7 linked regions of the Canis lupus familiaris genome follow. The protein of the gene in region 1 interacts with the protein of each later gene in a pairwise test. Links are inferred from orthologs where the notes say so. Each region holds a gene or a part of one and is shown in the gene's direction. Other genes may lie near its edges.

Region 1 (4,120 bases):
ATGAGTTTAAATTAGAGATGGAGATGAGTGCCTTGAATGAGAAGGCTGCTCAATTTGGGATTATATATTGTGAAATCTTTTTCTGGATGTTTCTAGACATAGGCTGGATTATAAATTGTATATCTTGCTGTGAACAAGGGAACAGACAAGATTTCTCAAGATCCTGTCAAGCCTGGTGATCTTTGGAAATGAAAGCCTAATTAAGAGGCTCCCTAGGGACAGGTCAAAGGCGTTCTTTTATCCCTACTGACCCCATTCCAGTTCTCTGATGCCTATTCTGCTCCTTTTCATTCAGCCTACTCTAAAACTGAAGAATACATATTGTGCAAGTTTCTACCTTTGCTTCCTCTACTGTAAATGCATTAGACTATTAGAATTAAGAATTTTAAATACCTTGTCCCTAATCTCTGAACTGACGGGTTTTGTTTTTTAATAGAGCTTAACATTTAAAATTCTTCTAACCTTTGTTCTTTTCTTCAATTGAACATAAAGCTTTTAAATGTTGGACTATAAAAGTACTTCAAATATCTTTTAATAAATCTATCTGATGAGTAATACGCTGTCAAATTTCAATTCGCATTTATTTTTTCTAATTTCAAAGATTGTGCTGCATGCAATTACTTATTTGAATTAAACTGTTAGAATCGTTTTGAGTGTCTCACTTCTTTGAAAGGTTTAGGTGAGTGTCTCTACAGTATCACTCAGAGAATAGCAACTGATGCACGTTTTAAAACTTGACATAATTATTTTGCAGATTTAAAGTAATTAATGTCCTTTCTTCCATTGATAGTACAGCAGGAACAGTAGAGCATTTTATTGTTCTTTTATAGCCTCTGCTCCCTCACATGAAAAATTAGTCACGTTAATTTGTGTAAGTTTTTAAACTTTGCAGAAGTGAAAATGTTCTAAATACAAGCGTACGTGAAAGAGTTTTCCAGGGTGTAGAGGTGTGGGCCCTGCTGCACCCCCGAACAGCAATCTTTGTCCAGACCACTCCACAGCGCCATGTTAAAAGCTAAAATTTTAACTTCTAAAATTCTGACGTTTAGGTCTAAGTCTCCTCTTCAACACTCATAAGCAACACCTAAAAACACAAGACAGGCTTCAGACGCTAACGTTCCCTAGACCACCGCCCCAATCACCGTCCCAAATTCCGTACGCAGCTCCGCCAGGTCGGCAATTACCCGCTCCGGCTCCTTGGCGTGACGCTCCAGCTGCACCTGATTGGCGCACCGGCTTGTCAGTCACGAGGGTCCTCGAAGGCCCGGGCCGGACGAGACGCTGTGTTTTTACGTCATTTACCGGCGACGCAAGCGGGCGGGCGAGGGGGGCGGGTGTTGTGAGCACAGCTCGGTGGTGGCGGGGGTAGCCTGCGAAGGTGTCATGGCTGCTGCCGTTGAGCTTAGCCTCTCGAGCAGTGGTGACAGGAGTCCGGAACGGAGCTGCAGCCCCAATCTCTCCCAAGAGGTGCTCCGCGAAATCTTTCGCTCACTGCATAGCCTGGTGGGACAAGTGAGTGGTGGTCTGTGGGAGCAGAGCAGGGGGTTGGGAACTCTCCGGCCCCTCCCCCCTTTTTTCCTCTAGCGGAGGCGGGGGGCTGCTTAGGGCTGCCGGGGACCGGGACTGAGTACTGAGGCCGGCGGAGGAGCCTGAGCCTAGCTGCGGTCGGAGCGAGGAAGGCCGTACGGGCTGGCAATTCTCCCCAAGAGTGAGAGGATAGTGTAAGTGAAAAACCTGGCTCCCAGAAGAACATGCTTGGAGAGAGCGAAGGCGTAAAAAGCTTTGTGGGTTTGGAGGGTGCCTGGCGCTCAGCATCCCCTATCCTTCAGTGAATTTGTGATAGAAATTGATAGAAGTAACGGCCTGAGAGTTTTGGCAAAGCTCTCTCCGCTTTTTTTTTGGGGGGGGGGGGGGGTTGATTTGCTTTTAGGAGTCACTTGGTTTTCTTTCTTTTTTTTTTTTTCCTTCTGGTTGTTACATGTGCATCTCTTACCCTTTCATATGGGGAGGAAAAATGAAAGGAATTAATGTAAATACTTCTTGCATAAAATTCGATGAGTTATCCATGATTGATAGAGTTTGCATCAGAACTGTTTGTCATTTAATTATTAGCTAATTTAACTGACTGATGAATAGCTTCTGCAGAAATGTCATAATAAATTGGGTTTAAATAAAAGTACTCCTTACACTATTCAATCAAGTCAACTGTTTCATGAAATAAAATGCAAAGCATATTACAAATGATAAACAACTTGAAAATAAGTTTGTTTGCTTTTAAAAAGGAAATCTTTTGTATCTTAGACGGAATATTTTTTTACTCTAAAAGTTTGTTATGGGGTTGGTATTAGTGCATGTAGTAGGCACAGCAAACATTTATGTCGAGGATAATGTTTATGAAAACAACACCTGTCTAGTTTGTAAAAAGTTATTTTTAAAAGCCGTGAGTGGATGGAGAATTAATTTTTTAAAAGGTTATTTCAGTATTTTTAAAAATCCTAATATGTTTGTCCTTAGAAAAAGCATTACTCTAAGTTAAACATTTAATTTGGTCTAACGGAACAATTATTAACAGAATCTGCTAAAAGTTGTAACTGTTGAGCTCAGTTGTTTGCCGCCAACTTATTAAAATTTTTTAAAGACTTGGGGACATTAACATTTTAGTCTTATCACCCAAGACCTGTAATGGTTAAAAGTCTGAGAACGTTTTCTGTCTTGGATATTGGAATTTTAAGGTTTATTTATATTTTAATGTCACGATGAAAAAAGTTTATGCTTACCTGTAATTTACAGTTTTATTTTCAGTGGTGATAAATTTTTTAAAGTAACATTAAGAAATAATTTAAACATTTCTTTTGAAATATTTTTGCATACTGAATTTTTAAAACTCATTTACAGATTTTAAACATTCGCGTATTTTGTGATTAAAGTTTACTTATGTCACCTGTCAAAAATGTTGAGAGTACATATTTGGAAAGTTTACATGACACATTGAAGGGACCATCTATACAGGTGTCAAAAAATTAAATCATTGTCTCATCAATTAAATACTATTTTGATATTAGTCTTTATATTTTGAGATGTATTGTTTAAAGGGAAGAATGAAAGCCACAATATTATAAAATTGCCCCTGGAGGAAATCACTATGTACTTTTGCAACAAGTTTATAGGATATTTTTTTTAATGTAAGTTTCAAAAAAAAAAAAAGTAAGTTTCAATATGCCTAGTTTCATTCTGCATAGTATCATTATATTGTTGGCTCTCCTCAATAGGAAACATAAAATTGAATGTTAAAAAGTATCCCAGATTTCAAATTTACTTATTTTAACCTTATTGCTTGCCACAGCATGGCTCATTCTACCAAGTTGAAGCATTATTTATTGTTAGCTTGGAGTTTCATACTAATTTTTTATGGAAAATGCTTACTTAAATAGTCCATATTAATGTCACACCAATACATTTTTGAGTGAATGCTTTACGTTTACAAGTTATAAAGGGTAAAAATGCATCGAATTCGTATTACTAATAGGGAATTTGTTGAATAAATAGTTGGATATATTATGATAATTTTAAAGTTAATTTGTATCATTATGTAGTTTTCTTTAAAAAAACCAAGTGTCTTTAATTGTGCTTGAAAGGCTTACATAATTATGCTGAATTGAAAGGAGAATATGATCCCAACATTAAGATTTATTTTATTTGTTTATTTTCTTTAGGAAATTTGATGCTTTACTTTAGTTGAGGATTTGTCTGTGTTATCCCAAAACTCTATTTATAAATTTGTTAGGAACTGTAGATCTCTTAGAGGACTGTAGAAGTACAGTAATTAAATAATATAAACTAAGATTAATGCAGTAATCTTAATGTAAAACTTTAGTTAATATAATCTAATCTCTGCCAGTGTAGCCTATCCAAAATTTCTTATTTCTTTATAGTTGTCTGATACAGACTTTAAATGTTTCTTGTCTCATGGAAAAGGTGGTAAATTTTTGTCATACAGTATTCATTAAGTATACTGCCTTTTTTGGGTAACTTTGGATTTCTGGTTCTTTGTACAGTGATTCATCTTTTTGTTTTATTAGAATCACAACTCATAACATCAGTATTTGAACTAATGTAATAC
Region 2 (4,186 bases), on another chromosome or scaffold:
GCTTGCTGACCACAGCCTCTGTCTGGATGAAGTTCCTCAGCATCTCCATGGATGTGGTCTGCACATAGCCATAGTCCTGGGGGCAGAGGAAGGACAGCCTTTGGGTGGTGAGTGGAGGAAAAAGGTGAAAGTGAATGGACTTAGTTTTCCCACCCCAGCCCACATTTGCAGGGCACTGGGCACTTGGGGGAGACCCCTGGCCCTCACCAGCACTTCATCCAGGAGTTCGTAGACAAGAGCCACGTTTCGGGAGATGGTCCCCTCACTCAAGGAGCCACAGTAGTCGCCCAGGAGAGTGGCCAACCTGAGAAAACAGGGCTGTGTGTGCATACCCTTCTACGGTCGTATCCCCGCGCCCAGGTGCCCAGCCCTGCCCTCCTCACCGGGAGAGCAGCTCTAGAAGGCTGAAGGGAGAAATGTTTTCTGAAGTCGTGGCTACCAAATAGAGGCCGCTGTGTCTGATGTGAATGAAATGACGGTCATCGTGGTGCTGAGGCGGAGGCGAGGAAGAGAGCGTTAGGAAGACATGTGATTAAGGACCCGCGAGACTTGCTAGCGGTGGGCCTTGGGGCGAGCCAGGCACCTCGCCCCCGCCCCGGGACCCAGCTGCCTAATGTGGAAGTGGAAGTGGCCCTGGTACCTACCCCGGACTGGCGGAGCTGCGCCCCGTAGAGTGTTAGCGCTCCAGAAACTGTCGCTCGGATTACTTGGCAGAACGTACCCCCCGCCCCGCCCGCGCCCCCCAGCGGCAGCTCTCAGGGAAACGGTCCTGGGAGGAAGGAGGCGCCCCCCAGCCCTCCGGGAGCCTACCCCAAGCCCCGCCGCAGGTTACCATGACAACCGGGGACTCATCTCCGGGCAGTCCCGTCAGCTTCCGGTAGAAGAGCTCGGCCACATCCCGACCGCCACTGTCCCCGCGGACTGACCGGGTGGAAGGACAGCTAAGGAGTCGGCGACACGGGCGGGCTCTAGGGCACTACTCCCACCCAGGCCTCCCGCCCCGCAGGTCAAGGATACAATCCTTGTAGATGAGCGGGTCCCCTTTGGAAGACAGAATGAAGAACTGGGAGATCATGGTGGTTGGAGAGTCCGCAAGGAGACAGCGAAACTTGGGCCTGCCCCGCCCTGCGGCCCCGGAACAAAAGGACGCGCGTAGGCTGGTCCTTTAAGAGCAATTTCTCTCGGTCCGAGCCAGCTCGGACCGCGGGAAACCCGGCGCCCGCCCCGCCCGCCCCGCCCCGCCCCGCCTCGCCTCTCCGCAGCTCGGGTGCCCGCGCCGCTGCCCCGTCACTCAGTCCAGACTCGCCTGGTGATTGGCCGAAGCTATGGCCTGCGGGAGAGTGGGAGGGGCGAAGGGCCTCCTCTTTGATAGGCCCGCACGCGGCGGCGCCCGTCACGTGGGGGGCGACGTTTCGCGCCAATTTCGGTTGGTCGGCAGGAGCCCGCCGCGCGGACGCTTTCTGCTGTCCTGGGAGTGAGCGCCTTGAGCCCGCCAGCTGCTGCCGCACGGGCGATGGCAGTTAAAGACTACGTGCTCGAGAAAGGTGAGGATATGCAAACTTGGGAGGAGCGGCCTGCGCGGGAAGCCTGCGGTCCAACACCTGTTGGCGTGAGCCGGCGTCCTGGGGCCCCGGGGCGCGCGGCCAGAGGCAGGGTCGAGAGGCTGCAGGGCAGAGGCAGACGGTGCGTGGGAGGCGCGCGGGCCGCGGAAGTCGAAGAGCCAGTCATGCCTGGGGAAGGAGTGGCGGGTCGCGGTGGGCGGGGGAGGGTCGCGCCCAGGAGAGACCGGGACCTCAGGAGACCCAAAGGGCTTTCCGCCCCCAAGGACAAGGACCCCGGGTCCCCCCTCCCTGCGCACCCTTAGACATTCGGAGCGCCCGCGCCCTCTCGAGACGCGCCGGAGTCCCGGGGGCGGGCGGGCCCCGGCCGCTGAGTGCCGGGATTGGCCATTTTAGGCCAACCTCTAAGCGGAAGTGAAGGCGGGCGGAAGTTGCGCGACGTCGCTGGAGGGAGTGTCGTCTGTAAACAGTGTCCTTCCGCGCCGCGGCCTCGGAAAGAGCTGCTCAGGGTGGGGGCGTGCCTGAAACTGGGGGGCTTCGCGGGAGGCCGAGAAAGGAGGTGGTCGGGTGGGACGGAGTGGCCCTTGACGAGCCGGCCAATCGCCGGACGGGCTCCCGCCCTGGGCGGAGGAATCCCGGGCTGTGAGGCGGCTGCATCTGGGCCCATGTGCTTCTTTGTTTACTAAGAGCGGAAGCAGTGGCGGGAGAGGGGGTGGGGTGCAGGCTGGGCCTAGTGGAGAGACTGAGGAGACCGAAGAAAAAGAGGAATCTCAACGCGTGGAAGAAAAACTGAGAACCTTGAGCTCAGAGCGTGTGGCGGGGTGTGAAAGGCCTTTGGGAACGAGTACTGAGATTTGTAACCAGGGGAGACACTGGGATTCCCTGGGGGAAGGTTGTTGGGTAAAGCTCCTGACTGCCCGGGGCCCCTTCTCTAGGTGAGAATAGACCTGTTAGAAGGAGTTCTGCTCTACTTGGTAAGAATTACGAAGTAAAAGCGAGTTTTTTAAAGAAGCGTATCAAGGGGTTTTGTGGTAAAGTATCTGAAAGACTCATTCTCATGATTTACGTTTTCCTTGCAGAAAAGGTTAAGAAATTCCTACAAGAGTTTTATCAGGATGATGAATTTGGCAAGAAGCAGTTCAAGTACGGGAACCAGTTGGTGAGTCATAGAAAAAGTGGAGGGAATGGGTGGTTGCTTAAGGAGCTGTAAGAGGTGGCCTGGCTTGCTTCAGTAAGTGTACATGTAGGTAACAGCTTCAGTGTGATTCTTAATATTTAGTAAGTGGAAGTCATTCTGTGTGGGTAATGAGCAGTGTGCTCTTTAGAAGTTAGAGGGCTGTCTTTGGGGGGCTGAGAAGTGAGTATTGCTTTGTCTCATGCTTCTTTCTACCCTTGTGGGTGGGGGACACTGCTGACCATGGTGTACACAGCTCTGTCTCGTCCTTACCCCAGGTTCAACTGGCTCATCGGGAACAAGTGGCAATGTACATAGACCTAGATGATGTAGCTGAGGATGACCCTGAGTTGGTGGACTCCATCTGTGAGAATGCCAGACGCTACACCAGGCTCTTTGCTGATGCTGTACAAGAGCTGCTGCCTCAGTACAAGGAGAGGGAGGTGAGTGGTTGCAGGACAACACAGGGCAACACAGGTTGCTTTCCAGAAGCTTCTCAGATGCTGGTTTTTCAGAGTTGGCAGAAAGGGGGCAGTAATTTCTGCCTGGTTCCCTTTGTGGTCTTTCGTTCTCTAGTCCTGCCACACGTTTTTTCTTCTATCTTTCTTTTCTCTTGAGGTGGTAAACAAAGATGTTCTGGATGTTTACATTGAACATCGGCTGATGATGGAACAGCGGAGCCGCGACCCTGGGGCAGCCCGAAGCCCGCAGAACCAGTACCCTCCCGAACTCATGCGCAGATTGTGAGTGGTCTCAGCGAGGAAGGCTGTGGAAGCTTGTGCAAGCTTGTGCTTCAGAACCTTTGTAATGACTCTTTTCTCTCCCTTAGTGAGCTCTACTTTCAAGGCCCAAGCAGTAACAAGCCTCGTGTGATCCGGGAAGTACGGGCTGACTCTGTGGGGAAATTGGTCACCGTACGTGGAATTGTCACTCGTGTCTCCGAAGTCAAACCCAGGATGGTGGTGGCCACTTACACTTGTGACCAGTGTGGAGCAGAGACCTACCAGCCGGTATGTAGGGAGCAAGGAATAGGAACATATTTAATTGTTAGTGGTTTGCCCCAGAATTACTTTTAACTCCTGGTAGTTATCTGTTGTTTGCTGTGTTCGTTATGAAACACAACTGTGTGTTTACTTATCATTGTTTTTCTGGTCCGTAGTGGTCTTTCCATCGTCCTTTATGGGTTTTTGGTTCCTATGCTTATTGACTCAGGACAGGTCAAAACGTTGGCAGTGTGCGATGTGTGCTATGGGGAAGAGGAAATGTTGACTCAGGTGACGGACTCATGGCTTTTTGCTTTTTCTTGCATTCTAGATCCAGTCTCCTACTTTCATGCCTCTGATCATGTGCCCCAGCCAGGAGTGCCAGACCAATCGCTCAGGAGGGCGGCTGTATCTGCAGACACGTGGTTCCAAATTCATCAAATTCCAAGAGATGAAGATGCAGGAACATG
Region 3 (3,500 bases), on another chromosome or scaffold:
CACTGCTCATTACGTTACCGAGTCGGCCACGTCCCGAGTTGTGGTAACCAGTGCCTTTCGTTTGGGCCACCGTGTCAGAGTCCAGCATGACCTTTTTTTGAGGCAGTGCCCTTCCACCCTAAACTTTTCTGTTCCTCTCGCTATTTGGCTTTATGTTGAGAGCCGCCAACCCTAGCTTTTTCATTTTTCTCGTGGTTAGATGGATAGCGCAGTCCAGTGTAAGCATTAAAAACACTTTCCGTTTTGTTTCCAGCTCCCTGATCCCGAGATGTGGTAGTGCTGCCTGGGGCTTGCAATGAAGGGGAAATGACCTGCTTATGCCGGCACCACCCACATCCTAATAACTCTCTCTGCTTTACCAAACCAGAGCTCATGGTCACCTCAAGTTGCTATTTTATTTCCCATTCTTTTCTGTTTCCAAAATCTGTATGGTAGATTCCCTCCTGCCTCCTCCCGCCTTCCTCCCCTACAGTTTTGTCTAAGCAGCTGTGAATGTGACTATACCCGTCTGTTCCTGTCTCTGTGTTTGACTGTCCGTTTCTTTGTTCACTCAGACTAAACAGTCGTCTTCTGAAAAGCTCATGGATGGCTCTGAAATCTTCAGTTTGTTAGAATCTGCAAGGAAACCAACAGAATTCATAGGAGGGGTTACTTCTACTTCTCAAAGCTGGGTTCAGGTGGCCAATTGCTCCCTCTTTGGTGTTCCTGACTCTGCCTATTTGCCTATCTTTATGCCTCTTTGGTGTGTGTGCACGTGTGTGTGCATGCATGTTTTGCATCCAAGTGGCTCTAAGGCCTTAAACACCTGAGAGGTATCTTCAGGTGTTTTCCTTCGTGCCTGCTTGGCATAGCTGTGATGTGCCTTTATTTGCATCACTAGAACATACTTCAGATATTCAAAAAGCAGTCATGTTGAAAAATCTGAATAGCATTTAATTTTTTAAGCATCTTATGTCATCCATTAGGTCTCAGAAAGCTGCCAGAATCAGTGGGAAAATGCTATAGTGCTTTCATTTTGTTTTGTTTTCGTTGCGTTTTATGCCGCATCCTGTTTCATCTGCAGATATCCCGACATAGCAGCACAGGCTTGTGTGTGTGTGTGTGTGTGTGTGTGTGTGTGTGTGTGTGTGTGTGTGTTGGGGCAGAGGACGCGCCTCCGAGATTCTGGTGGGAGGAATGAAAGCGTTTGTAAGCGTTTCTGATTATAAGCACTTGACACTGGCTTTAGGTGTCCTGGTGAGTGGCTGCTTTTGTTTTTATTTTGGCTTTGTGACCTTTGGTGTATGGAAAGCCACAATGACACCCCAATCCTCTCCCATGCAGAAAACAGAAACCAAGACGGAGTCCAGCAAGACGGAGACAGAAACAAGCCATTTAGCACCGAGCCCCCAGCCACTTAGCACCGAGAAGGTTGTGCAGGAAACCGTGCTGGTGGAGGAAAGACATGTGATGAGTGTGCATGCGAGTGGGGATGCTTCTTACGTGGCTGGAGATGACATGGATGCTGCGACACAGGCAGCATCTGCTGATGCTTCTGGCTTGAAAGGGAAGGAGGGCTCTGCTCTGCCGGAGGGGGCTAAGGAGGAGAAGGGGCAGGTGGCCGATAAAGCTGTCCTCGAACAGGAAGAGACAGCTGCTGCTTCCCACGAGCCAGAGGAGGAGCAGAGCACAACAACCCACGTTCCTGAAACTCGGGAACAGAAACCTCATTTTGAGGTAACTAGTAGTTGACGTTACTTTCAGCACCAACGTAAAACTGACATATGACTCCCCAAAATCTCGTTAAGCGTAAAGTGTAAAGCTAAGTTTAATTTTCTACCTTTTCCAAGTGCAATTTGTTTCTCCTCTTATTCCCCCTCTTGCACGGCGACAGGGCCTCCATGCTGGTTTCCATCTTTGGGTTCACATGCAAACGTATTTAATGATTATTAATTATGTGTGGTTCCAGGAAATGGTTTCTACCTTCACTGTAATTATTGGCAGTAAACCTGGGGAATGCGTGGCCAGCCAAGATAGTAGAAAATTCGATAAATTTATTTTTGATCAGGATACTTACCCAGAAGGCCCAAAAACCATGCTCGCCCCGGTACCAAATGCCAGAACTTCGTTCTTTATCTCTTTTACTGAGATTCCTAAAGTATATGGAGTGAGGGGTGGCTAATGTCTTAAAATCTGTTCCTTCTTTCTAAGAAGTTATTAAATAAAAGGCGAATTGATGATTTTTGATCTATTAGTTTAGGCAAGACAGGAAAGGCAACATAAAAATAGTTTTTTAAACATTTCCTTCAAAATGCTTTCCTTTACCTGGAACATCCCATGTGAAAAACTCTCTGGAATTCTGAAAGACATTCCTCAACTAACCCTCCCCACGTTACACCTAACCATTTACTACATACTAACCTGTACTCATACATACCCACCGAGAGGGGAGGGAAAAAGCCAAAATCATGTCTTTGTGCAAACTACTAAATAGCCACTCTACCTGCTTCCCATTGGTACAGTCATCAACTGTGAAGACAGAGAGCCTCAGTTTTGGCAGTGTTTCACCAGGAGGAGTAAAGCTAGAAATCTCTACCAAGGAAGTGCCGGTAGTTCACACAGAAACAAAAACGATAACGTATGAATCGTCACAGGTAAGACTGTGCATGAAGGTCAAAGCCCTGGCACTTTGCTTTGCCCCTCTCTGTGGCTCACTGCATTAAAGTTGGACCCCATGACATTTAATTCGTGAGACTCAGAGGACACAGCAGCCAAACTGTGTCTGTCAAGAGTGATAATGGTAATAATTATAACTTTATTACTGCTGACGAAGCATCAGGTGACTTACACTGGTCTTCGTATATCTCAAGAGGTAGAACGAGGCTCAGGGACCTATTTCCCCAGCCATAGATGAGGAAGCCTACCAGCTCGAGCAGACACTACTCCCATTTCGCAAGGCCCAGTTTTTAAAGATGATTAACCCTGGCTGTGTTTGGGCGAGCCTGTCCCCAAGGCCATGGCTCCCATGTGCTGATTGGACAACGTGGCTATGGGGGGAGATAACTGAATCATTGTGATGTCCTGACCACTCAGATGCCCTGAGGGATCTGAGTGCAGTGTCTGTTCCCTGCTTTCGTAGGTTGATGCTGGTGCAGATTTGGAACCGGGCGTGCTAATGAGCGCGCAGACAATCACGTCTGAAACCACCAGTACCACGACCACCACCCACATCACCAAAGTAAGTGGACTGGGAAGAGACCGTCCCAGTTGGGCTGCACAGACGAAGAGTTTGGTGAATATCAGGACGCCCAGATAGGCGCCTTGGAGCTTTCAGGCCCACTCTGCTTACGGGGCGTGTGCTCCTACACGCTCCTTTCTGTTTAGGAGTATGCACCCTGATACCCTTTGCTTGCCTAACACGGAACTCCAGTCCTCAGCATGTGGTAGGTGTTCCAGAAACACGGGCCAGCCACGCCCAAAGGACTCCATTGTAGCTTCGCTTCTGGAATTAATGATTTTGA
Region 4 (4,059 bases), on another chromosome or scaffold:
GGCTGAAGCGAGGCAAGGCGCCTTTTCTCAACGTTGAATTTATTTATTTATTTATTTTAATTTTTATTTATTTATGATAGTCACAGAGAGAGAGAGAGAGAGAGGGCAGAGACACAGGCAGAGGGAGAAGCAGGCTCCATGCACCGGGAGCCCGACGTGGGATTCGATCCCGGGTCTCCAGGATCGTGCTCTGGGCCAAAGGCAGGCGCCAAACCGCTGCGCCACCCAGGGATCCCTCAACGTTGAATTTAAAGAGTAGGGGTTGGAAGGGAGAAGCAGCCTCGATTCAGGTGTGCAACGTCCCCCTTCCACAGGTGGGACTGCTGCCCGCGGGCCTGTCCCCTGCTGGGGTGCGGCTGCTGCTGTGTGGGGAGAGCGATCCGACTCCTACAGCTACGAGGGGTCCGGGCCAGACGCGGCCCCCGCAGGGAGCAGGAGGGTTTCTTCGCGGCTCCCCCCGCAGGGCAGGGGCGCGGGGCCCAGCGCATGCCCGGCCGGGAGGGCGCCCGCTCGGGTCTCGCCCGCGATCGGGGGCGTCCCGGGGGCCTGGCCCGCCGGCTGGGCGGGGCCGCCGCTACCTCGGTAACCTCGGCGGGGCGCTGCCCGGTGGGGGGAGCCCGAGGGCACCCTAGCTCCGCCGGTGGCTTTCCAGGCGTCTCGGGGGAGGCAAGGCCGCGCTTCCGTAGGAGGAAAGCCCTGGGGGCGGCCCCCTTCTCGGCTGCCCAGCCCTGTTGTGAAGCTCGCCGCGGCCGAGGCAGCCCCAACCACCCCGCTGCTGCGCCGCTAACGCTAGGAGCCCGCCCCGCGCCCCGCAGGCTGCTCGGAGAACGGGCGCCCTCAGGTCTCGGTCTCGCGGAGGCGCAGCCCCGTCGGCGGCCCGTGCACGGCAGCTCCGTCTCGGGATGTCTGCGGGGCGTCCCCGCCGCCTCCTCCGGGGACCTGCAGCCCGCGCGGCCGGGCCGTCCCGTAAGGCACACGGGGTCGGCGGGCAAGCCGGGCGGCAGCCCTCGGGACCCCGCAGCCCACCCAGCGCGCGGCCTGCGGCGGCTGCAGCGGGCCCGCCCGCGGAGGGGAAGAGAAAGGGGCGCGGGAGACACTGAGCATGCTCGGCGGAGAGGGCGGGGCGCCCCCGGGCCGCGCGTCGGGGCCGGCGCTGCTCAGCCCGGCTCTGCCTCCCGGGCGCCCGCCCGCTCCGAGCCGCGCCCGCCGCAGGCTGCGCCCGCCCCCGCCCCGCCCCGCCCCGCCCCCCCGCCGCTCGTCCCCGCCGCGGCCGCGCCGCCTGCAGCAGCAGCAGCGGCAGCAGCAGCTGCTCCTCCCCGGCGGCCGCCCCCCGCGGGTCCCTCCCTGGCTGCGGGAGAGGCCGAGGTAGAGGGAGGACGCCGCGCCGCCCGCCCGCTCCGGGGACCCTCGCCTCGCCCTGCTGGCTCCGCACCCTCCGGGAGAAACATGGGTAAGTCATCCTGCCTTCCCCGTCATCGCCTGACATTTTTCTCTCCCTCGGCGTGTTGCAGGGTGGGAAGCGTTTCTCGCGCAAAGTTGCCGGATTTCTCCAGCCCGCGGCTGTGGGACCGCGGCTCGCCCTGCGGGGACAGTCGGCGCTCGCGGCACGCGCGCGGGTCCCCGGGCTGGGAGGGTCCCGGGCGCGGGGTGCGGCCCTCGGGCACCTCGCGGCCGCGCCTCCCCTCCTCCATTCTTCCTGCCCGAGCCGTGCCCGGGCACCGCGGGGCCGGCCTCGCGGGCCAGCATCCTCCGGAGGCCGCCCGCCCCCTTCCCTCGGCGGCTGCGGGCGCGGAGGCTCGGTCGGACCGCGCGGGAGAGCCCGCCTCGCGGAACTTCCCGGTCTGGGCGACCTTTCCCCAGCCCGAGGCGGGGAAGTGCGAGCAAGTAGTTTGGGCGACGGCACGACCTGCATGGGAATGGTTTCTGGCGGGGGAGAGCGGCCGGCGTCCCCGGCCGAGGGATGACTTGTCAGAGGCCACGAGGAGCGCGCGGGAGGATGCGGAGAGCCGCCGGCCGGGGGCCCCGTGCCCAGCCCCCTCCTGGGCCCCTTCGCCCGCCGGCTGTAGCTGTGCCGAGAAACGCACCCTGGACACGTTACGGAACTTACATCTCAGTTATTCCTTCCCGGCGTCCCCTGCCTCAATCTACATAATCTGATTTTTAGTTCCTTTGTATGTACGGTTGATCCCAACGAATTGGTTTGCGACCAGATACTTAAAAGCAGGTGCATTCTCTAAAATGACATATGACTTATCTTAACATTTTTTTTTTTCATGACATTGCTTAGGCGTTCAGTGCGGTAATTACAGAAACGTCTGATGAGTTCTGTAATTTAATAGGCGATTTTTTTTTTTTAAAAGATAGTATCAGTTCGAAGTACCGTACTTCTACATGCCCCTGGTTCGCTTCCACCCCTGTCGTAATCTCCTCTTTTAAAATTTGCTCCATTGGCGTCTGTCAACTCGGACTTTTCCCACCCCTCTGTGCAAGTTATTTTAAGCCTAAAATGAATGTGGTTCTTTCATCTGTCAATACAGTGCTCAACACGTCTAGCATTCAGTCGTGGCAATTGAGAATCTTCTAGGAAGTATCTAAATCTGGAAATGGTGTGGATGGAGCTTACTGGAAAAGCAGATGCTCCAAGCTGTTTCAGACCTTTGGTCCTATATTGGGGAGAGGCTAGTGTTGCAGGAGGAGGTGGTATGAATAAAAAATGAATTATGGCCCTGAATTTTATCTTTAGTTCAGATTTCTTCCCCCCCTTTTAATGTACTATCGGTATTATGCTGAACGAATTTATGTAAAATTGGGTGGCCCATAGGTACCTAGCTTTTCTCCAGGAGTAGAATTTTAAATAAATACTCAGATTATTGGACACATTGTAAATTTTCCTTGAACATGCAAAAGCTCTCTCCTTAATTATAGGCCACAAATATGGCTTGTGAAATACATTTACCCGTGTTTCAAGGTGAGCTAGAAAATCCATTTAAATAAAATTTTAACTTACATGTTGAGTCAGAGTCTTCTCAGTAGAAAAAATTCAATTCTGTTGCCATACTTATGAATAAAAATACTTTATTTAAAAATGATTGATCTTCAAATTCTTGAATGTTACTGCTTGATTTCAAAGAATGGTCAGATAGAAACCCTTCTCTCATTTGAAGTTTCTCAGATACTCTTTGATTAAACCAGTCTCTCCTCATAGTACTCTATACCTTATTGGAGGCTTTTTAGCACTTACATAATCTGCCTTATAATGGAGTTGTTTATGTGTGTGTTGTGCAGTTAGTCATCAGTTCCAGAAGATGTAAATTATGTCTAATTAATTTTTGTGTATCCCACAGTTCTTTCCACATAGTAGATATTCAATAAGTCTTTGGTGAATTCACTATTGAAGTTAAAACCTATTATTTTCCATTTGTGAACTTGAAAGTATGGGCTTTGAACATTCAGTTTGGTAGTTATTATGGAGGCTTGGAGGAATTGGGAATAGAGAAGTATAATTATACTATGAGTAGTCTTCTTGGTAAAAAAAAAAAAAAAAAAAAAAAGGTTGGGTTGACTCAGAGATATGGATTCGGGGATAGCCTCCAGGTAAGCCATTTCCTTCTGCACTGCTGTCTTCCATGGTAAGGTGGGTTAGTGTGTGATCACTAGGACATGCAATAACATAAAATTGAAACCTTGTAAAGCGATTTCATCTTCTGAGCCAAAGAAGTTATAACAATTGACATATACGTAAAGGGTACCCTGATTAATGGTAGGAAAAAATCACTTTTGAAAGACTTCCCAAGAAATAAATAAGGTGATTTAAAAAAATATTCTCATGGCAGTGCTTTTTCTCTGTAAGAAAGTGAAGGAAACTTCCTATATAGTCTTATGGGGCATGGCTATAATATATATCTTATTATAGAGTCAACATATACTTAATATTTATTGAATATCAACCAAGTACAATGTACTGTGGGAGGACAGAGATGAATAAAACATTCATACTTCAAGTTCCATTTAATCCTAATTGGAATGATACGATACATACACAGATAGCTATAACGGAAG
Region 5 (3,500 bases), on another chromosome or scaffold:
CCTAGTCAAGAGTCACCCCACCCAGGTTATTTTTCCAGAGCGCCTACTCAATTCAAGCCTACTTACTATACTTTGGCATTTATATCATGTCCTATAATGAACTTTAAAACCCAAAAGATCATTCTAGAAAGAATGAATAGGAGATAATTGGCCAAAAACTCATTACATTTCTTTTTCAGAAAGGCAAAATTATGAATAATTTCAATCTTTTACTTAAAGACTAAAACCTATTTCATTGCTCACTGATTTGGATATTAATATAGAAGGTGTCTGACATGTATTAACATAGAATAAATCATCAAATTCAAAGCCGTGAATCAAAATGCCACTCTAGCTAACTCACCCTTACAGACTCTGAATCCTGTAATATCATCTACGATTGTTTTCATTAATAAATAAGGATATATTTATTAATAAAGATACCACATGACTAAATTAAGAAGGGACTTGGGAGAAGTAGGTTTTCTAAGTTTCCTCAGTTTTAATGTAGTCACAACAAACCACTAATACTATTCTGATTTCATAATTGGCATTAATTTTACTTTTTTAACTTAATAATGAAAAAGAGAGAACAAGAAAAATAGCAGATAAAAATCCAATATGACTGTTACAATTGTACAGAAGTGCTGTGTCTAAGTGCATCATTAAATCACTAAGCCAGTAAGTATTTGACTAAAGTTGACTCGTTACAATATGTTCGCTTTCATTCATTAAGAACCATATATATATATATATATATATATATATATATATATTCACAAGTCAGAAGTATTTGAATAAAGTTAGCCACACTCTTCATAAATTTGTCAGAAAGTTAAGAGTTTTTATTTAGAGCAAAGCAAGATAGACCTAATGGCAAATATGTATGACTTTGCAGTAAAACTAGAACATTACATGGTTGATAAGCAAGCAAAAATCATCTCTTCCAACTTATAAAACACATGTAGGGTATCTTTCTCCTAGTGCTCAGGTAAATCCATATGGGGTAGTACTCCCTTGTTTGGCAGTTTTGCTCACTGTGGGCCAATAGTCAATGTCTGTCTGGAGATATTATGAATGCCACAATTGGGGGGCGCTACTGGCATCCAGTAGGTTGGGGACAAGGATGCTGCTAAACAGCCTACAATGCTCAAGATAGCCCCCCACAACAAGAAATTATTTGGCTCAATATGTACAAGTGCTTAAGTTGAGAAATCCTGACATACAATTTAATCTTCAAAAAGAAAAAAGTCTAAATAATAATGGCAATAACAATAATAACAATATATAAATTTCAGATAGAGATAATAGGTCATTTAAAATCCAAATACACTCTCTCTCTAAAATTTTTTTTTTATAATTAAAAAAAATGAAAAAAAATGGGAGGCGCCTGGATGACTCAGTCAGTTAAGTGTCCAACTCTTGATTTCAGCTCGTGATCTCAGGGTCGTGAGATGGAGCCCTGCATGGGGCTCTGTGCTCAGTGAGAAGTCTGCTTGAGATTCTCTCTCTCCCTCTTCTTCTGCCCCTCCCCCCACTCTATCTCTAAAAAAATAAAATAAAAATAAAAAATTAATAAAATCCAAATATAAGCACAAATGTAACTATGGTACAAAATGAAAAAAACTCATCCATCCTTTTAATAGGAGGTTAGAATGAGAAACATAATAAAATATCAATGATTTTCCAATTGAACCTCAAGAAAGAAATCAATTTCAATCAATGTTTATGGTCATATGGGTCTAATTTTTCCTGATGTTAATTCTCACTAATAAATGAAAATTGCCCATAAATGTGAAGATTGAATATCATTTATGAACATCCCCAGCTTAATCCAACAATGATCATTTTGGTGTGGCAGGAAGGAGTGAGGAAGAGAGTAAAATAAGTCATGAACTGAAGTAAATGTGATAGTCTTGTTCAGCTAGTTCAAAAAGAACAAATACCTTTTCAAGACAGGGAGATTGAGGCACATGCGAGAGTTCATATCGTGTGTGATCACTTGCATCAGATTCTTCAAGTCACTAAGAACACCTGGGGTTCAGAAGCCCTGACAGTCTCACATGGGCTTTTCCTCCTCTTGAGCCAACAAAGTCATAATCAGGATAAGCACCTACCTGCATTAAGCACCATTTTGGCACTCAGGAAACTGAGTCCAGCAAAAGAAAGGCTCTGGATGAAGTGATACAGCCTCACTGACTGTCTGAGATCAACACGTCTGGCATGTGCTAGTCTCTGATGACTTCCGTTGGTTGATCCACAAACTGCCCCTCCACCCACCAGAGCTAGAATTCCATTAAAATATCACTAGATTTGGCAAACAAAATAGAGAACACCCAGTTAAGTTTATGTTTCAAGTAAACATTTTTTTTTCAGTAAAAGTGCCCCATCCAATACTTTAGATATACTTTTACTAAAATTTTTTAATTATTTGAAATTCAAATTTAACTGGGTGTCCCACATCTTATCTTGTGACTTCATCCCTGAACTGTAGCATCCCAAGATGGGAAGTCGCATGGAACTATGTGGTAGCTGCTGGAGGAGCATGAGAAAAGGCCCCCACTGTGGTTGGCAAAAGTGCGTGTCATGATTTATTGGCCATGAGCATGGAACCTGGGGATGGTCAGAGGGCAGGGTGTGTTATGGATACTTGCCATTCTCGCTGTTGAATTGTGCAGTGGCTACTTCTGAAGCTCTGGTGGAAAATCGCCAATGCTAGGTAGTTGAGAGGTATTTTCTCTTCCCTCCCTGTTTTACAAACCACAGACTTCACCTTCCACTTACCAGGAGGCTATTTTATGCTTTCTTATTCTTTAAAAAATAGTTGCTATAAGCTTGTTATGAGAAATAATTGTGAGAACAAAATATAAACCAAGCAGACACACTGTTGACCATTGCACCAATGCAAGACATTATCATGAATTCTGACAGCTTTACAGATTCCAAGATATGCCCTTCTATATTGACCAGTATCACTGGATAGATTCAAGAGAAGGAAAACTATTTATAGACCACCAAAAAGAATAGGAAGGGATCATTATAATGATAAGGAAAACCTATAAATGATATGCTCTAAAAGCTGTATCTATGAGTATCACAAAGTCCCATTTGTGAAATTTTTTGCAGAGGGGCAGTGACAATAGCAAAGAATATTTCCAACAACCACAGAGTAATCTTTTGGTATTTCCTCTTTTCATCCTTTTCTATCAACTCAAAAGCAATTCCTGCCATTTTCTTTTATTTTGCATCCCTCATGTCTAGCTGGATGAGCATCGCACTGAGCAAAAGAAGTTAAAGTTCTTACAAAAGAAACAGGTACAAATCCAAAAAGAAAAAGACCAGTTACAAAGTGAACACAGCAGAGCTATCCTTGCTCGAAGCAAACTGGAGAGTCTATGCCGGGAGTTGCAGAGACACAACAAGACACTGAAGGTATGTTATCACCACCTCTCTGAATAACACACCTTCTGGCATGCAGCGCAGCACGGGCTTCTGCCACTCATGGAAAGAGCATGAGTTTC
Region 6 (3,997 bases), on another chromosome or scaffold:
CTAGAAATTGACTCCCTTCCCCTTCTCTCACTTGAGGTGGGTTCTCATGTTACAGGATTTGGGATAAATATCCAGCTCTGGATTAATTGTGGCTACTTGGATTCTCTAGTGCAGAACTTAAGTGCAGTAGGTTTTAGGTTTTAGTGGGTTTTGTTATCTCAGAGGATCTTTTTTAGACCTGTAAAAGTACTTGAGATGTGACCATAACAACATACCTTAGTAGGTGCTGACAGTAAGAATTAAAACCCAGGGGTGTCATCAAATCCTAACTTGAAGCACCCTTAAAGAGCTTACTGGAAAACCTCTTTGTTCTTATTTATTAGTCTTCTGGAAAATGGAGAAACAGAAGTGTAGGAAACAGCTACAGCATAAGAAGTGCCCAACATGTGTGAGACCTGAATTTGCCCAGGGTGGTTGTCTACTACTTAGAGAGAGCTCAGGCCAGTGCGTGGGAAGTAATGTCCAGAGACATGGAGCAACATGGCCAACATCAAGCAGCTGATAAACAGCAGTGTTCAAGGTAAAAAAAATGCCACCGAAGGACCTGAAGCTGCTACCAGAACTGAGAGAGGGTGAGGGAAGAAACAGGCTTCATTTGTTTCCCTTGAGTTCATGGGGCTGCCTCCACCATGGGTGGTTCACATCCATATCCATTGTCTATTACCTGTGTGGACATGCATGCACATTCACACATTCACATACACAGCACACGTAAGGATGTAGAAAGTTCTGAAATTGGCCCTGGAACATCTGGATTCAGTCCTGGGTCAGCCTAGCCACTCACTACACTTGTGATCTGAGGTCTCTAAGCCTCGGTTTACTCATCTGTGAAATAGGGCTGTTTGATGCCTGCTTTGCCCTCTCTTAGGTGGTGAAGGACACAGACCCAGATGAGCCTCCTCCACAGCCTGCACTGATCTAGCCTCCCCCACCACCAGCAGAAAAATCTGGGAGGTCAGGCACATGACCTTGCAGAGAATGCATGAGTGCCTTTCTGCACACAGCCCTGGGGCAGGGACCATTTCTCTTTCAGCTCAATGAATGGTGGAAGCTCATAGAAAATAGCAGACAAAGCAGGCCTGGGGGTAGGGGAGCTTCCAGAAAGGCCCACGACCGGGCCACAGGGACACTGGGGCTGGAAACCAAAAGCCACTAGGCTCTGTAAACCCACTAGGCAGAGCAGAGGCAGAAGGGGAGATGAGCACAAGGCGAGTGGTGGTGGACATGCCCACCGGGGCCAGCTCCAGCATGCCCCTCCAAAGGCACAGGGCATCCTTCGGGGGAACATGGTCATCATCCTCCCTGGATAGCCCCCCAGCCTCCAGGACCAATGCCTTGGGTGGTCTCATCCGAGCACCCAGAGTCTATGTAGGGATGGCGCCCAGTGGGTTCACAGGTGGCCTGGGCACCCGTGTGACACGCCGGGCTCTGGGCATCAGCAGTGTTTTCCTGCAGGGCCTGCGGAGCTCAGGTCTTGCCACAGCACCAGCTCCAGGTCTGGAGAGGAACCTCAGTACAGTTGAGGACCTGGGGGGTTGCCTGGTGGAATACATGGCCAAGGTTCATGCCCTCGAGAGCGTCAGCCAAGAGCTGGAGGCACAGCTGCGGATGCACCTGGAGAGCAAAGCCACACGCTCAGAAAGCTGGGGTGCCCTCAGGGCCTCCTGGGCCAGCAGTTGCCAGCAGGTGAGTGCCTGGGCCATGCCCAAGGGCTTTGCGTAGGGCCAGGAGAGGGTGCTGACAGCCGCCTGAGGGGTCATTATCAGAGAGCAAGAATGCTGAGGCGGGGCAGGGGAGTAAATGGTTTGAAGCCAAAGAAACTGACCACAACCTCTCATTTCATGCTAAAAAATACTAATGATAATGAAAACAATAATGACAGCTATCATTTACTGAGGTAGACTAAGGGCCAGGCCCAGTTCCCTGTACACGAACTATCTCCTATGTTCAAAGCAATACTATGCAGAGGCTCATTTACCGATTGCATTTTTCAGATGAGAAAACTGAGGCACAAAGGAATTATGTAATTTGCCCAAGATTTGCAGCCTGTAGGGAAGCTGAGCTTTGAGCCTGAATTGTTTCAGTTCCAAAGCTTGCATTTGTCCCATAACCCTGTTAAGAAGAGGTTTTGTGTTAAGAAAGGGTTTTCACAGCCATCATCAAATGGAACACCATAGAATGGATGAGGCATCAAAAACAAGGATAAATGGAGGTGTGTTCCTGTATCCATCTGCTACAGAACTGTCCAATAGAAATATGAGCCACCTGGTAATTGATAAGTTTCTATTACAGTAAAAAAATAAAAAGAAACAGATGAAGCTAATTTTAGCATCAATATATTTTAAATGTTATTTCAACAGGTAATCAACATTTAAAATATTAATGTGATAGTTTACATGAAATAGAACTTTCTGCAGTGACTGAAATGTCCTATATCCACACCGTCCTGTCTGGTGGCCACAGCCATATATGGCTATTGAGCACATGAATCCTGGCTAATAAGACTGAAGAATTGAGTTTTTATTTTTATTTTATTTTATTTTATTTTATTTTATTTTATTTTATTTTATATTTTATTTACTACATGTGGCCAGTGCTATCCTATTGGACAGGGCTGGACACAGAGGTTTCATCTTTCTCCCTTGCTTGGTCAGGATGTGCTCTCCTGGGTGATTTCCGCAGAGCGCTGAGCTCATCTGTCATGTCTGGCCTGCAGCCTACTGTTCTACCACCAGGACTCCAGCCAGCATTGCACATCTCATCAGATCTCTGTGGGTGGCTGGCTTCTCTTTCCCTTCCCTACCCAACCTCCCCCCGATACATGCTGATCTTGGGATCCCTCTGAGCTACATGGGCCTCTAATTCAGCCAGGAACTGCCAGCTTGGACCCCTTGGGCCCTAGAGGCCAGCATGCACTCCCCAAGAGGAGATCACAAACTTCTATTTGTGTGTGGCTAAGTGATGCAGTGCAGGCACACTGAGAGGCTCCCCATTTCCCTTCCTGCCTCCCATTTCATCTGAGGATGCTTCTCCTTCATTGTCAGTCAGTGCCCGACCGTCAGCTTAGGACATATGATATACAACACTGTCCTCTTGGCTTTCCTCTGGAGCTGTTGTTCTGCTTACATCCATCTGGGCTATAAGGGAGAGCCATCTTAAAGCAGCCTGGGGCTTAAAGCTGTCAAATCTAAGAAAGCCACCCCTCCCAGATTCTCCCTAGCAGTCCTGATTCCAAGTATTTGTGTCCTATAAACCAGCAGGCTGTTCCTATATGTTCCAATATTTCAGCCTGTGTAGGACAAGAAATTGTTCTGCATTCAGACGCCACCCAGACTTTTCATGAGAAGTCAGGCATCCTAATTTCTAAGTCAAAACGTATAGACACAAAACTTAGTCCATATTCAATAGATCCTGATGTGGTCTGGCTCCAGCTAGCTACAGGGGATTGGGCAACTTTCTCAACTTCTCTAAACCTCAGTGTCCTTATCTGTAAAATGAGTACAATGCCACAGCCATTCTAGCAAATCCATAGATATCTAAGTTGCATGGTTCCTGCCTGTGGGCAGACCATAGATTAGCAAACTGCTCCCTGAGAGCAGCACAGCCAAAGTGCCACCAGAGCCAAGGACACAGAGACATTCAATCCTGTCACTGAATCCCAAATGAGGGTCATTTCTCTCTTAACTGACCATAAGTGAGATACTTCATATGAATACAGACTTCCCTTCTTCTTTTGTTTAAAAGCGTGGACTTGATGGGATCCCTGGATGGCGCAGCGGTTTGGCGCCTGCCTTTGGCCCAGGGCGTGATCCTGGAGACCCAGGGTCGAATCCCACATCGGGCTCCCGGTGCATGGGGCCTGCTTCTCCCTCTGCCTGTGTCTCTGCCTCTCTCTCTCTCTGTGACTATCATAAATTAAAAAAAAAAAAAAAAAAAAAAAAGCGTGGACTTGAGATACAGTGAGACTGACCTGTAAAATGCAGTTATTGCTGTATCA
Region 7 (4,199 bases), on another chromosome or scaffold:
CCCAGCTCAGGCCTTCCCCGAACTGTAGGGTCACACTATTCATTAGGTTGTTTTCCATAGTCTTGATAGACCTGGGACACATCCAGATCTCTAGGACTGGTCACACTCCGATCTTAGAGGAACACTCCTCCCGAGCTCTAGAAAGCCATCTCTAGAAACTAGGAGAGGTGGCCTGGGCCATGCTTATGGTTGACAACCAACCACATCATGAGAGAGCTGAGGCTGGTGGGCACATTTGTAAAAACACGACCCTGGCCATAGTACTGGTCTATCTATCCCCTCCCCTCCCACATTCCTGGGTTTTCTTTATCAAGCCTTCGACGGGAGAGTTGGAGCAAAACCATTTTAGGGAAAATGGCTCGTTTTCTTGACTAAGCCTTACAAGGGTGCCACTCCATCTCTAAAACAGGTTTTGGATAAATACTTTGGGGAAATAGTTTAGTTGGGTGGTATAGGTACACAGAAAAGGCATTTTAGCTTCCCAAAAGCTATTTTCCATGATTTATGTTTGCCTAGGTTTTACTAAAGGAACATTTATTGGGGGGGTGGGGGAGGGAGGGGGCTTCCCTAATGATAAAAATAATGTGCATTCATGATGTAGTACCTGGAAAGCACAAAGTAGCCCAAAGAAGGAAATGAATGAGTGAGTATGAATAAGGACGTGAATGGAGCCGCCCCCCGTGGGATCCCACTTGCTCTAGCAGCCCAGGAGTAAGGCCGTGTCGTTTTCACATCATACAGGTGGGGCGCTGAGCGCCGCGGGCTCCGCTGACCTGCCCAGGCCACCGCGCAGGGGCGAGCCTGCACTCCCCACGCCGCGCCCAGGAATCTCCGCATCAAACGGTGCCCACTGGGCATCCGCAGGAATCGCAGGTAAGGGCCCCGCGTAGACGCCGCGACCTTCTGAGTCCTGGAACGGTCGGTCCCGAGGAGGGTCCGACCCCGAGGAGGCAGCCAGCAGGTGTCTCGCGCCGGGGCGCACCCGCCTCGAGGAAGGCGCTGGCTCAGAACCCGACGCACGGTAGACGTTGCCAACGGCCTCTGGGCGGCCGGAGCCGCGGTAGGTGAGCTCCGGCTCGGTGGAGAAGGCCCCTACCTGGGGGGCGGGGCCGGGGGCGGGGCTCCGCCCGCACCTGGCCAATGGGCGCCGGGGGACCCGCCCCGCCCCTCGAGTGGGCGGGGCTTGCGCGCCCGGCCTCCGCGGCGCTCCCCAACCCCCGGGGGGCGGGGCCGGCCGGCGGCGCTCGGCGCTGACGCTGCGCCGACGCGCCCGACGTCGGGCACGTTGACGCCGGCGACGCGCAGCCGGGCCCGCTCCTCCTGCGCTCAGGCAGTGTCCGGCCGCGGGCCGGCCTTGGTGACTGGGGGCTGCGGGCCCGGGGCCGGCGGGCGCGGGCGCGGGCCGCTTTCGTCGGGCCCCGAGCTCGCCCGGAGCGAGCAGCCGCCCGCACGGCGCCGCGGAGCCTCCTCGCCCGCTCCCGCCGGCGAGCAAGGTAAGGAGCGGGAGACTGAGGCAGGCTGGGGCGGAGCGGGGCGGAGCGGGGCCGCGGGCGCCCGGGCGCCGGCCCCTCCCCGCGGCGGCCCCCTCCCCGCGGCGGCGCTCGCTGTCAGCCCCCGGGCGCGGAGGCGGTGGGCCCCGGCGGGGCGCCCCGAGGCCGGGCTCCTGGGGCCGCGGCGCCCCGGGGGCCCCGGGTCAGCCCCGGGTCAGCCCCGGGTCAGCCCCGGGTCAGCCCCGCGCCGGGCTCGGGGGCCGAGGACCTGTGGCCGGGGAAGCCGCGGCCCGGGCTGCGCTCCAGCTGTCAGCGGTGCCCCGCGGTCCGGGGTCCGGGGTCCGGGGCCCGGGGCCCTGCAGCGCGGCGCTGGGCGAGGGGCGAGGAGGTCGCGGCGGTCGCGGCGGTCGCGGCGTCGCCGCCCCCGGGGCTCCAGCCTCCTCCCGCGGCGCCCGCCTGCTGTGGGCCTCGCTGGCGGCGTCTCCTTCTCCCCTTTCCCTTCTCCTCCGTCCTCCTCCCTGTCCTTTCTTCCGTCTTGCTTCCTCCTCCGCTCCCTCCTAGCCGTCCGCGGCCGCACCGACCTGCTCCATGCCCGGTGTGCAAGTTTCCTTTCTAATACTCTTTTCTTTTTTTCCCTCCGGCCGTAAACTTACGTAAGTTGGGTTGCCTGACCGTCACACCTTTTGCAGCCACTGACAAACACCTTTCCCGGCCCTTAACGAATCCGGTGCCTTTGAGCGCTCACCCAGTCCGGCCCGAAGCCGAGGGAGCCGCCAGTCCTCCTCGGGAGCTGACTGCACACATTCCTCCAAGATGCCTGATGCATTTTGTACTTGTCAGTTTTACTGGCTGTATGCTCCTTCTGTGCTTTTCCCGAAACATGATTGGGTGGCATGTGTTTTGACTTTCTCTCCCCGAACCGGGAAATAAAGGGGAAAAAGTAAGTTGCAGAAGCACACTTGTTTTCAACAACCAGAAAGTACAGCTTTGCAGACAAAACGCCCCAGGGTTGGTTCTGTACTCCAGGGGTAGTCTGTGAGGTCTCTACCCTGCCCTGCACTATCCCACGTATTAATCTGTTCCCACACTCAGGATTCGCCTGTGTATGTTTTTTTCCGCTTACTTATACTCAGAGTGTAACAGTCGGATCTGAGAATAACGAGGCTGTCAACCTTCATTTTATGAGCAGCACGGAGAGCTAATAAAGTTGCAGGTTTGTGGGAGCCTTTATTTTGCACTTAATGACTGGAGTCTGGGTGTTTTATTTCAAGATGATGTGCGAGGTGATGCCGACCATCAGTGAAGCAGAAGGCCTGCCAGGAGGAAGTGGGAGCCGTGGGTCCAGCTCTCCTTCGCAGCCAGATGCAGATTCACATTTCGAACAGTTGATGGTGTCCATGCTGGAGGAGAGGGACCGTCTTCTGGACACGCTGAGAGAGACTCAGGAAACGCTGGCATTAACCCAGGGGAAGTTACATGAGGTCGGGCATGAAAGAGATTCCTTGCAGAGGCAGCTCAATACTGCACTTCCACAGGTATGGATGCCTTTCACCTGGAACTTTACAGATCTTTCTTTCCCCTTCTAAATTATGGTGTCACCTTTCATGGTGTTCATGTTTTACATGAGTCTGTGAAATGGTGGTTCTGGTTTTTTTTTTTAATTATTAAAGATTTAATTTCTTTATTCATGAGAGACAGAGAGAAAGAGAGAGAGAGAGAGAGAGAAGCAGGCTCCATGCAGGGAGCCCGAAGTGGGACTCGATCCCAGGTCTCCAGGATCACACCCTGGGCCGAAGGTGGCACTGAACTGCTGAGCCACCTGGGCTGCTTGTGGTTCTGGTGTCTGTAAGTCATGTGCAGAGAGGGTTCCCGAGGGTTGAACCTCTGAGGGAAGACAAGCTGTGGTGCACTATACTTAAACACCTCGTAACTCTTGTTCCTTTCTTCTGCCTTAATTTGGGACAGTGCTCCGAAGTTTTTGGACAAGGGCCATGAGGCATCCAAGCTGCGTGCTGCCTTCCATTCTGTCGTCTTAGGCCTTTCTTGCTCAACCTGTGTTTCTTATGGATTTTATCGCATTTCCCATTTTCTAATGAAATTTAATGGATAGATAGGATTGATTTCACAGGAAAGATAAAGATATTTTTACAGTCCACTTTTCTAAGAACACCTGTGTTTTATAAATGAAGTTTGTTGTGGAGGATATGAGACAGAGATTAATTCCTTCGGAACTTTCTTCTTGGCCGATGAGAATTGTAAGCTTGAAGTGACGCCGAAGCCATTAATCTTAGTATATGACATTTGGACTAGTTTCAAAGCCTCTCCTTGTGGAGCTGAGTGAGGACGTCATGATAGGTGAGGGTAGAGGGTAGAGGAAAGTGTAAGGCGAGTGGCACAGAGCATGCCGGAGACACAGAGGTTACTTGGGTGTTCACAGCCGCCTAGGTGCCACTTGAGTTACCCGTAATAGGCGCCTTTGTGGTCCTTTCAGGTAGGCCTGCATAAGCACATGCTTGTGCTCCCACCGTCGGTCTGCAGTGCTAAATTAGTAAATGAGTAATTGCCAGCCTGAATGCATTTCTTGGCTGTAGCTGGTTCTCCTGAAAGATTGATAAGCCAGACGTTTGCATTTCCTTTTTAGCAATAATAATCTGCCGTTAGTGCTGTAGTGCTCCTTTTCTGTTGGATCGGGGAGCCATCACGGTTTTT

The links.
Region 2: the proteins of MBIP (region 1) and MCM7 interact in binary tests that used the Homo sapiens proteins (3 or more experiments, as listed by UniProt). The two-hybrid records come from large-scale screens. The link is inferred for Canis lupus familiaris from reciprocal best matches to the Homo sapiens genes MBIP and MCM7.
Region 3: the proteins of MBIP (region 1) and EPB41L3 interact in a two-hybrid assay, tested with the Homo sapiens proteins (2 studies listed by BioGRID). The two-hybrid records come from large-scale screens. The link is inferred for Canis lupus familiaris from reciprocal best matches to the Homo sapiens genes MBIP and EPB41L3.
Region 4: the proteins of MBIP (region 1) and RAP1GDS1 interact in binary tests that used the Homo sapiens proteins (3 or more experiments, as listed by UniProt). The two-hybrid records come from large-scale screens. The link is inferred for Canis lupus familiaris from reciprocal best matches to the Homo sapiens genes MBIP and RAP1GDS1.
Region 5: the proteins of MBIP (region 1) and TXLNB interact in binary tests that used the Homo sapiens proteins (3 or more experiments, as listed by UniProt). The two-hybrid records come from large-scale screens. The link is inferred for Canis lupus familiaris from reciprocal best matches to the Homo sapiens genes MBIP and TXLNB.
Region 6: the proteins of MBIP (region 1) and BFSP2 interact in binary tests that used the Homo sapiens proteins (3 or more experiments, as listed by UniProt). The two-hybrid records come from large-scale screens. The link is inferred for Canis lupus familiaris from reciprocal best matches to the Homo sapiens genes MBIP and BFSP2.
Region 7: the proteins of MBIP (region 1) and PPFIA1 interact in binary tests that used the Homo sapiens proteins (3 or more experiments, as listed by UniProt). The two-hybrid records come from large-scale screens. The link is inferred for Canis lupus familiaris from reciprocal best matches to the Homo sapiens genes MBIP and PPFIA1.

The regions. Positions count from the first base shown.
Region 1 is NC_049229.1:15,070,287-15,074,406, reverse strand, and holds the start of MBIP (MAP3K12-binding inhibitory protein 1), read left to right. Parts: upstream 1-1,320; 5' UTR 1,321-1,383; coding exon 1,384-1,512; intron 1,513-4,120. UniProt on the Homo sapiens protein: Inhibits the MAP3K12 activity to induce the activation of the JNK/SAPK pathway. Component of the ATAC complex, a complex with histone acetyltransferase activity on histones H3 and H4.
Region 2 is NC_049227.1:9,437,379-9,441,564, forward strand, and holds the start of MCM7 (DNA replication licensing factor MCM7), read left to right. Parts: upstream 1-1,386; 5' UTR 1,387-1,513; coding exon 1,514-1,544; intron 1,545-1,988; exon of another isoform or gene 1,989-2,068; intron 2,069-2,356; exon of another isoform or gene 2,357-2,380; intron 2,381-2,390; exon of another isoform or gene 2,391-2,533; intron 2,534-2,638; coding exon 2,639-2,718; intron 2,719-3,011; coding exon 3,012-3,176; intron 3,177-3,351; coding exon 3,352-3,476; intron 3,477-3,562; coding exon 3,563-3,743; intron 3,744-4,047; coding exon 4,048-4,185; intron 4,186-4,186. Other genes in the region: AP4M1 (AP-4 complex subunit mu-1), read right to left, coding at 1-76, 208-304, 384-490, 833-921, 1,018-1,075. UniProt on the Homo sapiens protein: Acts as a component of the MCM2-7 complex (MCM complex) which is the replicative helicase essential for 'once per cell cycle' DNA replication initiation and elongation in eukaryotic cells.
Region 3 is NC_049228.1:71,859,202-71,862,701, reverse strand, and holds part of EPB41L3 (band 4.1-like protein 3), read left to right. Parts: coding exon 1-43; intron 44-554; coding exon 555-677; intron 678-1,323; coding exon 1,324-1,716; intron 1,717-2,501; coding exon 2,502-2,633; intron 2,634-3,118; coding exon 3,119-3,217; intron 3,218-3,500. UniProt on the Homo sapiens protein: Tumor suppressor that inhibits cell proliferation and promotes apoptosis. Modulates the activity of protein arginine N-methyltransferases, including PRMT3 and PRMT5.
Region 4 is NC_049253.1:19,381,199-19,385,257, reverse strand, and holds the start of RAP1GDS1 (rap1 GTPase-GDP dissociation stimulator 1), read left to right. Parts: upstream 1-1,259; 5' UTR 1,260-1,446; coding exon 1,447-1,450; intron 1,451-4,059. UniProt on the Homo sapiens protein: Acts as a GEF (guanine nucleotide exchange factor) for the Rho family of small GTP-binding proteins (G proteins) that stimulates the dissociation of GDP to enable subsequent binding of GTP.
Region 5 is NC_049222.1:31,678,515-31,682,014, reverse strand, and holds part of TXLNB (beta-taxilin), read left to right. Parts: intron 1-3,240; coding exon 3,241-3,411; intron 3,412-3,500. UniProt on the Homo sapiens protein: Promotes motor nerve regeneration. May be involved in intracellular vesicle traffic.
Region 6 is NC_049244.1:30,851,725-30,855,721, forward strand, and holds the start of BFSP2 (phakinin), read left to right. Parts: upstream 1-1,197; coding exon 1,198-1,686; intron 1,687-3,997.
Region 7 is NC_049239.1:48,513,378-48,517,576, reverse strand, and holds the start of PPFIA1 (liprin-alpha-1), read left to right. Parts: upstream 1-1,399; 5' UTR 1,400-1,493; intron 1,494-2,761; coding exon 2,762-3,025; intron 3,026-4,199. UniProt on the Homo sapiens protein: May regulate the disassembly of focal adhesions. May localize receptor-like tyrosine phosphatases type 2A at specific sites on the plasma membrane, possibly regulating their interaction with the extracellular environment and their association with substrates.